Arabidopsis thaliana: one gene and its partner. The protein of the gene in region 2 binds, or shares a complex with, the protein of the main gene of each other region. Each region holds a gene or a part of one and is shown on either strand. Other genes may lie near its edges. A codon is read from its position in the direction of its gene.

Region 1 (3,803 bases), on a different chromosome or scaffold from region 2:
TCATCTTCTGCCGAGAGAAAAAATTACAAGCAGGATAGTGAAAGGGATGTTTTATTACTTTGGCGGTGATTTTTACTCGAAACAGAGCATCTGAACCTTTTGGCCAACCATATTAAACCAATTTTAAATTTTGGTAAGTTTATTATTTCCTTCATTCTTAGTTTAATGAGAGTAGCTTTATAATGCTGCTAATGGTGTATATATCACTATATTGTACTAAATTCAGCTTGTTAAAAATATCATCAGTAGTCCCCTTTTAAACAATTGCAGAGTGTAAATCAAAGGTATGCAAATCTTTCTTTTGGTGATGAAAAATACAAATTTTCCTCTTTGCTATTCTTCTTACAACTTATGAATGGTGATGACAGTAATGCAATAACGATATGAAGCTTTGACTAGTTCTTTTCTAGCAATCGAATGACCGAAACCATATGTTTTACAATAGAATTGTATTGATCTTCGAAACAAAGATCACACGTATAAATTATATTATTCGGTGAATGGTGAGTTGATGACAAAAGGATAATCAGAGAAAAACTGTTGGTGTGAGCCACACCGTAGTGGAGTCTCCACTCAAAGCCTCAAAGTAAGGGAACTGACCAGCTTTTATGTTAGTGATCAATGTATTATCTCTTAAGAAGCAAAGAAAAGAAAAACAAACAAAAAAACCCTAATAATAGTGATAATAGATCAGAGGTGTCTTTTTGTTTTCCCTCTAAGCGGAGTTTAGAGAGTGCTTTAGTCTGCATGTCCTCCCAAAAGTGGCTGAGAACCCAATTTCTTTTTATCTTATGTTTGCAGAGCCACTACTTGCATGATTGTAACGTGGCCATCTACTTTATTAATTGCTGGGTGTTATACTATTTTCGTATACGCGGTACTAGACAAGTAGAAAAAGAAAAAAGAATTCCAACTTTTTCTTGTGTTTGTTCTTTTGAAAAGGATGTGACTTCATACTTGGACTCTTTAAGTCGAAACAAATTTTATTTAAATTCCATACTTAGGATGCATAAAAACCACAACACACATTCACTAAGGCTCTCTCGCATTATTAGGGGAAAAAAAAAAACAAAGACAAAAACAGAACACAGCTTAGCAACAAGAGAACAACAAGATTATTCAAATCAGAGATTGTTCTTCCTATACTCAGCAGCATATGCAACAATCTTCTCAGAGTCAGGGAGAGACTTAGACACACTCTCTTTCTCCATGCACCGCTTTGCCCAAGCGATCAGTTTCGGACTCTCTGACTCGATGCTAAAGTTACCAAACTTCTCATAGGCTTGGAACCAACTCGAGAATGTAATCAAGGAAATGTCTACATACCCAAAGCTATCTCCACCAAAGTAAGGTTTATCTCCTAGCTCAGATTCAAGAATCTTCACTGCCTCAATAAATTCCTTCTTGCCTGCTTCTTGTTCCTCACCTTTCTTCCCCCATACCTTGAATTGGGCGTCGGTGAACTGAATCCATTACAGAACATCGAATTATGTCAGAAGGAACCAAACTCATTTTTTCAGATAACCCTAAATCACATTGTTTCAGACTCAAGTTAAGAAATCTAGGGCACAAAAGGGATTAGTTACCTTCTTGTCCACGAAATCAGCCCAGAATCGAGCCTGAGCTCTCCCGTAAGGATCGGAAGGGAAGAACGGGTTCTTCTCGGGCCAAGCCTCGTCGACGTACTGGACAACGTTAAGAGATTCACATACCGGTTTACCGTTGTGGACCAGAACCGGGATTTTCTTGTGAATGGGATTACTCTGGAGGAGTAAAGGGCTCTTGTTCGAGAAATCTTCCTCTCTGTATTCAAACTCAACACCTTTCTCTCGCAACGCAACTCTAGCCCTCATCCCGAACATACTTGGCCAGTAATCCAAAAGAATCGGTAGGTTCGCCATTGCTATAGGATCTCTGAAGTTCACAAAGTGGTATATATTCTTGCTTTTTGTTGTGCGTGAACAAGCGAGTGTGTGTTATAGTAGAGAAGGAGTGAGTGACGGTTGTTTTATAGGGGAAGAAAATGATGTGGAAAGGATTTTGATTCCCGTTACGTCACATCAGCTTTTTTCAAAGCATATTATGGTCCATATATAAATCTTTTAAACAGTAAGCTTTTACCCGTAACGATTTAAAATGTATTTTGCAACTTTGTTAAATAATTGTCATATGTGTGCAACTAGTGAAAACATCACTTAATATAAAAGAGTGTGATTATCTTTTGCTCTGATTCAAACCTTAAACGTATATGTAAGAGATTAGAATGGAATTAGTACTTGACAATATAGAAATCGACTTGATTTATAAGAAGGTAACAAAATAAAAAGTTGATCGAGTGAAGTAATACTTTGCTTAGTTGCTGCATCAGTCTCTACTTTTGGCGTGGCCACCTACTCACAGTTGTTTGTATTATTATCTCTCAGTTAGGTGGGTGTACATTTACCACGTGATTCCCTTGATTTGATATCAAACATTACAATCCGGTACATACGAGGACAAGCTACTTACCATGCATGTACAAGAAATACGCATTTACACAAGGAGTGATAACAGCTATACTAATTTATTGAGAGAGTATTGCACTCTATTAAATATATCACATACACCATTATTTTTTCAATATCAGCATAAGATTTATAAATACATAATGCTTTATCTATGTTTATACTCTAAATTCTTTATATATATAAAGCCTTTGAAATAATATTTTAAAATTTACTAATCGATCCCAAAAATTACAGGATAGTTCTGTGTTAATATCGTTGTTGTAATCGTAAATCAAATTCAAATCCCATGAACTGTGCGGATCATAGTAATGTTATTTGATCTACCGAATTCAAATTCGGCAAGAAACACTAAACCCGTGGCTAATCTGATCATACCGACACTAATGATCACATCAACCACATAACTTCCAATTGACTACAATATGGAGTTATGGATGCCAATTTCAATTTGGGCTTATGGATGCCAATTTGGGCTTATTAGATCCAGACCGGCTTACCATTCTCGATGTTGGAGGTTTTAATCGCCAAACTGCACTATTGTCTTTTACAGCAACATTGGCGTGATAAGCTTGGTCAGGTAGAAGAGTCGTATTGGCGTAATTACATATCAAAGTAACAAATTAATAATCATTATAGATTAACGATCATTAATTAAACTCATAGTTACAATGCATAAAAACTAGGACAAGCCATTAAATCCAGAAAACACAGGAATCTGCTACAGCAAAGACATACATTCTCTACACTCAAACCACCTCACAGATGCTCTGCATTATTTAAGAAAGACAACACACGAAAGTAAAACAGAGAGCATCTTAAGTCCGAACCATATGACAAGAGAAACATATTTACTCAGGTACAAATTTCTTCCTGAGCTCAGAGACGAATTCAGTAACCTTCTCAGGATCAGGCAAGGACTTAGCCACGCTCTCCCTCTGCAAACACTTCTTAACCCAAGCAATCAGTTTCGGAACCTCAGATTCGATACTGAAGTTAGCAAACTTCTCGTATGCTGGAAACCATGTGTAGAATCCAATCAACGCAATGTCTACATAGCCAAAGTCATCGCCACTAAAGTAAGGTTTGTCTCCAAGCTCAGATTCAAGAGTCTTGAGTATCTCAATGAAATCCTTCTTCCCTGCCTCTTGTTCCTCACCCTTTGTCGCCCACACCTTCCTCTGAGCATCATACAGCTGAAACATTGCACAGAGTAACATAACACCAAGCTATGTCAGAACTCAGTCGAACCCAAACAAAGCTCAAAGATGATGTCTACAAAGCAAAACCAGTCCTAGA
Region 2 (5,342 bases):
GTAAGAGAATATATTATTGTTGTAAGTTGTAACAGTAATATATATACAAACGGTAGTATTCTCTTACCGTTATGATTAGGTTCCATTTTTTTTGCAGCCCACATACGTAAACGGAATTAACTTTCCTTTTAACCTTGTTTGAGTGATTTCCTTTTTTTTTTTTTTTATAACGTGAAGTATACACAATTAGTGGACTTACTCGGAAATTCAAATGGATCCTATCAAATTCTACTATAAGATAATGACTTCAATTAGTGGACTATATGTAGATCTATGATTACTTTTTCGTAATTAGAACTCTCTAAATAAACATCGGTCGCACTAATAATGTCGTAGTCACGTATAGCTTCTCACACAAAATCACACCACTATCTATATTTAGAGAGTTTTTTTTTTGTTTTGGCAAAGTATTTAGAGAGTTTATGATCTCTAAATTTTTAATTGTTTATGATCTCTTCTTGTTTTTGAGAGAAGCACCAAAATTCAATTGTCGAACACGTACATTATTGTTTCGAATATCGTAATATAAAACAATATTTTCACAATATGGTTCAGGTCAGATCGAGATAGATTAGATTATCCGAATTTTATTCTCCATACAGACAATCAATTATTCGAATCTTGATTTTTTTGTTCCAAGTATAATAAAGGTAACGTCACATCAGAAATCTATTTATTTCCCAAACACTAATTGCACAAAAAGCAAAGTAAAACCACTGTGATACAAATTCTATAAAGATAAAAAAAGTTTATGCTCAATTAAATAACGTAAAGAAAACTATATTGACAAATAAAGACAACAACGACGGAAATAAACAACTAAAAACCACTTTCTTTGATTTCACACAATTTTAGTGAGTCAAAACGCTGTGCTGAAGTAGCTACTCACCACATTCTCACACAGAATTTGGAGAACCTTAGCATTACTTGGCTTCACACATCTTGGCATCTTAAACTGTCCAGCCGATGAACCAAGCCCGAGAAAATGTTCTTGAATCTTCCGGAAAGTTCCTTTTGCGACAACTCTCAGCTCCAAGGCTCCAATAGTCTTGCATTTCCGGGAACTAACGTAACCCGCATCGATGAATGCTCGGTCTAAACAGTTGCAGCAATCTTGAAGAACGTCTTCGTTTGTTTCTCCTGAAATCTCCCAGAAGATAGCGTAATGTCCTGGATCTGTCGAGACATCGATGTAGCTAGAGAAGTCTATGACCTCGATCTTTTCTTCTGAGAGTCTCTTTGCAGCCGATTCTACTGAAAGCTGAAGGTCTCTTTCGGTGTTCTTGTCGATGTTGATCGAGAGAATCAGGTTTCTCCTGCATATGAATTTTAGTTGGGGAGTGTTGTTGTAGAAACCAATGACCTTTACCACATCTCCAAGCCGGTATCGATACAACCCTGTGCAATGTGGATCAAATGAGAATTATAAGCATCCATTACGAGACCGATACTACGCTAATTCCAGCCTTAAAACAACGGTAATACCTGCGTAATTTGTGATGACAACTTCATACTCTTCTCCAATCTTGACTTGAGTTAAACCAACCGGTTTCTCCTCTCCTTCCCCTGTTTCAGATACAGGGAGAAACTCGAAATAACCGAGATTCGGAATCACAGCAAATGTAGCTTCCTCTGGAGATAACCTTGGGGTAACATTAGCAGCAATCCATCCTTCCGAGCTACCGTAGTCATGGCTCACAAGAGGTAGATCACCCGCGTAATGTCTCAGCTTTGGCACATACGGCTCCATGGAGCCAGTCATGATCCCGTAAACATACTTTGCGTTGGGGAAGAGCGCGGGAATCAATCCGTACCAGTTGCTCAAACTCATACATTTGGTGCGGATCGTCTCAGCTAGCTCAGGGTTAGGTGTGAGCAGCTTCGACATTGCAGTACGGACCGATGGGACAGTAATACGGTTGCTTAAGACACCATCTTTGATATCGGTAACAATCTCTTCCCAAACCTGTTCAAAGGTTCTAAAAGCGTGAACTAGACCGTGAGCAAAGACGGCAAAGACGTATTGAACTTGATCTCTGAAGAGAATTCCGGATAAGAGATGGCAATACAAGGCTTGATGGACATCAGGACTAAAGATAACTTCGTCGGGACTACAGGAAGGAGACGTTATAGATTTCATCCCAGCTTTGAAGTTAGGGTTGCGGTACACGTTTGTGGTTGCGGTTCCAACCGGGACACCTCCCGTTGATATGTACTGCTTGCTGCTGAAGATAAATTGCAAAGCTTTGCCATTGTCATCAATGGGAAAATCTCTGTACAAGAAGAAAAACATCACATGTTAAGGCATAGTCGGTGGTAAGTAACAACATCACTAGTTTCTCTGTTCATGTCAATGGATGGAACAGAGAAAAGTGTGAAATGTGTGTGGGGGAAACATAAACACAAATTTAAACTATACCTGTTTCTGAAGGCAAAAGCAGTGCGAAACAGTTGCAATGTGTTCTCCATTAATTCATCAGTGAAAGGAATAAACTTTGGACGGCCTTGACTAGTTCCAGAGCTGATGATCAAAAACACACACACTGAGAAACAGAATCATCAATGATAAAGCAAAAAGAGGAAGTTACCTTAAGGAAATGGCAGGAACAGGGTGACCAGTGAGAATAGGTGAAGTGTCACCATCAACCATTCTTTTGATGTAAGGCTCTAATTCAACATCAGTGACTAAAGGAACCATAGATTTGAAAGCTTCTTCAGGGTCAGTAGCGTTTCCATTGAGACCACAGTTTTGTAAGTAAATGGCGGATTGGTTCTTGAGAAGAATCTCTTTCAAAGTTTGTTTCTGGACTTGATGAGCGTTTCTAGTCATTTCATCGAATTCATCAATGACTCTGTTCATGTCGAAAGTTTCAACCTTCTCCAACATCCTGAAGTAGATAAAAAGAAAAGAGTGATCAGATTCTGACAGATTTGAAAACAGAGAATATAAGGGAAGGTATAAACTTAAAAGCTCTTTTATGTTTCAGAGCATCCATAAAGGGAAAGTTTTTAAAAATTCTTATCAGAGAGATCTTTTTGCAGATTTTTTTTTTTATAAAAAAAAGTTGTGAAAACGGTTTTCGAGAATCGAAAATTAAGGAAGGATGGATCAAGAAATCGAAGGGTTTTGAGAGGAACCCAATAGTTGTGGAGAGGTAACAATCAGACCCAAATCGGAATCTATGAGATTGAACAAGTAAAGATGAGAACTTTTTTGGAATCTATCTGAAGAAAAAGTCAACGAGGTCGGAACCGGAGTAATTGGAAGTGTGTTTTACCCGATCAGACGAAACGGATTACTGAGAGATATGAAAATGATCAGCTTTAGTATCTAGATTAAGGAGTGAGAAAGAGAGAGTACCTGCGCTAGTTGCTGCGAGCTCTGTAGAGGATAGAGAGAGAGAGAGAAAAAAGGAGTGAGAGAAAGTTGAGTGAATTTGGAAAGTCAAGAGAAAGAAGCTGTCTTATTTTATAGACACAAAAATTGGACGGAGCAGCAAAAATGTAGAAGGCGAAAGATTAGTGGAAGCCGTTACTTGTATCTCTCTATCTTCTCTTTTTCTTTCTCCGACGGGATCTCTGATTTTTTCTTTTATTTTCTTCTTTTTGTATTCTTAGTTTATTTTTTCATCTTCACATGAGTGTTTGGGTCCAATCTGTAAAAGAGTGTAATATCTTCTTGGAATTAGGACCATTCTTAGATAATGCCCATTTTTACTTGGTTCCTCTCTGCCAAAACTTTAGTTTATTTAAAAGGACCAATCCAAAACAATCGCATGTGGATTACTTTTTTTTTTAACCATGTTTTAGTGTTTTAAAATATTCATTATGATCGATGCATAAAACAATACCGTAAGTTTAGTTTACGAAAAGCCAACTTGTGTTAGGAATATTATTTCTTTAATTCTTGAGTAATTTGGGTTCATGATATTAGTAGTAGATATACATATAGACAACATCATTTTTTGTTAACTAAGAATTTTCATGCGGCTAGTCTTCTAGTTTATTCAGACGAGGATCATAACATGTTAACTTAGTCACCTCTCTGTCATCGTTGTCTATATCATTATATATGGTCATTGCGTTAATGATGTAATACTAGGAAATACATCAGAAATCAACTATTCATCTCTAACAAAAGACCTATATATAATTCTAAGACTACAATCACTTAAATTTAACAAAATACGTTGTTTTTATACCACCTGTTATGATTTAATTTATAATGACCTGCGTTTGATTAATTCAAACTTGCTAAAGAAATAATATTTGATAGCTTCTTATATTTGGCTGTGTAGTTTGTAACAAAATTTGGAACAAACATATTTGTATATATCAAATATATATACAAATATGAGATATCACAATATATGGTTAACAATTCTTCATATCAGTTGCTTGCACATCTTTACATTAGTCATTTAAACGATTCTCAAAGTCTGTGAGGTTCATAAGATTTTTGGAATTAGGTTCATAAGATTTTTGGTTAACAATTCTGTTTCATCCATCTTCTCGTGCACAAAACAAATTAAGTTCAACAATCCCTTTTCTATTGCAGGGTTTAGGGTTTCGTTTCGGAAACGCATATTAGTCATCACAACTAACTTTTTTGTTTACAAGAATAAACTCTCATTTTAATGAAGCTGATCAACATAAGTTAAGTTACAAAAACATACGATTAATCTAATGATCTGATTGTATAAAAAAACAAAACATAGTTGATTTCCTTGAAGAAGAAAAAAAAACTATGTAAGAAACATTTGATTTTTATTGATGATTCTTGTTTTTCATTATATAGTTTCTTCAATTCATACATTTTCATTCGTCAATTTCATGCCTACTTTATATCGAGAAAATCATGAACTGATTGAAATCTGTGGAAAAGCTCCTTTTAGAGAAGTTAACATTTTCAATTTTTTTTGTTGACTGAAGAAGCTATAAATTGTATACATGCATGACAAGTCAACATAAATCACATATTCCTCCATGCTCATCATAAATGTTTTGAGCTTAAGAAACAATGGTACCATGACACATGCATACACAATTTTATTATTGACTGCTGATATTATTATTTTTGGCCTAATTAATTATTTTGATGTCATCCATTTTGGTTATCGTTTATACTAGCTAGTTGTAAAATAACTAAGAAAAACGATTGTGTGTGGAAATTAATTTAATATTCTAACTTTAATTTCGGACTAAAAAAAACTTAAATTTAACTAATTTGACACGTGGATGAGTCTAATTGGATTAGTATAAAAGATCCTCTGGATCCGCATGTACTGTGACCCAAGTGAGTTTCGTGCTTACACGTGGCAGTGCCGTCCAATTCAATTACG

What was found.
Region 1: the proteins of JAR1 (region 2) and GSTU20 are in contact, whole or in part, in a crystal structure (PDB 5ECH), measured with the Arabidopsis thaliana proteins. Residues at the interface, in NP_566071.1 of Arabidopsis thaliana: Leu37, Lys38, Asn39, Gln40, Ser41, Ala42, Ile43, Leu45, Gln46, Leu50, Asn51, Gly52, Asn53, Arg79, Asp84, Thr85, Ser86, Pro87, Ile88, Thr90, Gly91, His92, Pro93, Val94, Pro95, Thr114, Asp115, Glu116, Tyr395; in NP_177958.1 of Arabidopsis thaliana: Pro86 (codon at 1,646), Ser87 (codon at 1,643), Asp88 (codon at 1,640), Tyr90 (codon at 1,634), Ser137 (codon at 1,370), Glu138 (codon at 1,367), Leu139 (codon at 1,364), Gly140 (codon at 1,361), Asp141 (codon at 1,358), Lys142 (codon at 1,355), Pro143 (codon at 1,352), Tyr144 (codon at 1,349), Phe145 (codon at 1,346), Gly146 (codon at 1,343), Gly147 (codon at 1,340), Asp148 (codon at 1,337), Ser149 (codon at 1,334), Pro180 (codon at 1,241), Lys181 (codon at 1,238), Ala184 (codon at 1,229), Trp185 (codon at 1,226), Lys187 (codon at 1,220), Arg188 (codon at 1,217), Glu191 (codon at 1,208).

The regions. Positions count from the first base shown.
Region 1 is NC_003070.9:29,483,304-29,487,106, forward strand, and holds GSTU20 (glutathione S-transferase TAU 20), read right to left. Parts: upstream 2,087-3,803; 5' UTR 1,902-2,086; coding exon 1,587-1,901; intron 1,464-1,586; coding exon 1,125-1,463; 3' UTR 817-1,124; downstream 1-816. Other genes in the region: GSTU19 (glutathione S-transferase TAU 19), read right to left, coding at 3,356-3,700. UniProt on the Arabidopsis thaliana protein: Exhibits glutathione-dependent thiol transferase activities. Can use glutathione (GSH) and 1-chloro-2,4-dinitrobenzene (CDNB) as substrates. Involved in the regulation of far-red light influence on development.
Region 2 is NC_003071.7:19,031,887-19,037,228, reverse strand, and holds JAR1 (Auxin-responsive GH3 family protein), read right to left. Parts: upstream 3,489-5,342; 5' UTR 2,997-3,488; coding exon 2,965-2,996; intron 2,889-2,964; coding exon 2,589-2,888; intron 2,522-2,588; coding exon 2,420-2,521; intron 2,274-2,419; coding exon 1,486-2,273; intron 1,399-1,485; coding exon 860-1,398; 3' UTR 784-859; downstream 1-783. UniProt on the Arabidopsis thaliana protein: Catalyzes the synthesis of jasmonates-amino acid conjugates by adenylation; can use Ile and, in vitro at least, Val, Leu and Phe as conjugating amino acids on jasmonic acid (JA) and 9,10-dihydro-JA substrates, and to a lower extent, on 3-oxo-2-(2Z-pentenyl)-cyclopentane-1-butyric acid (OPC-4) and 12-hydroxy-JA (12-OH-JA).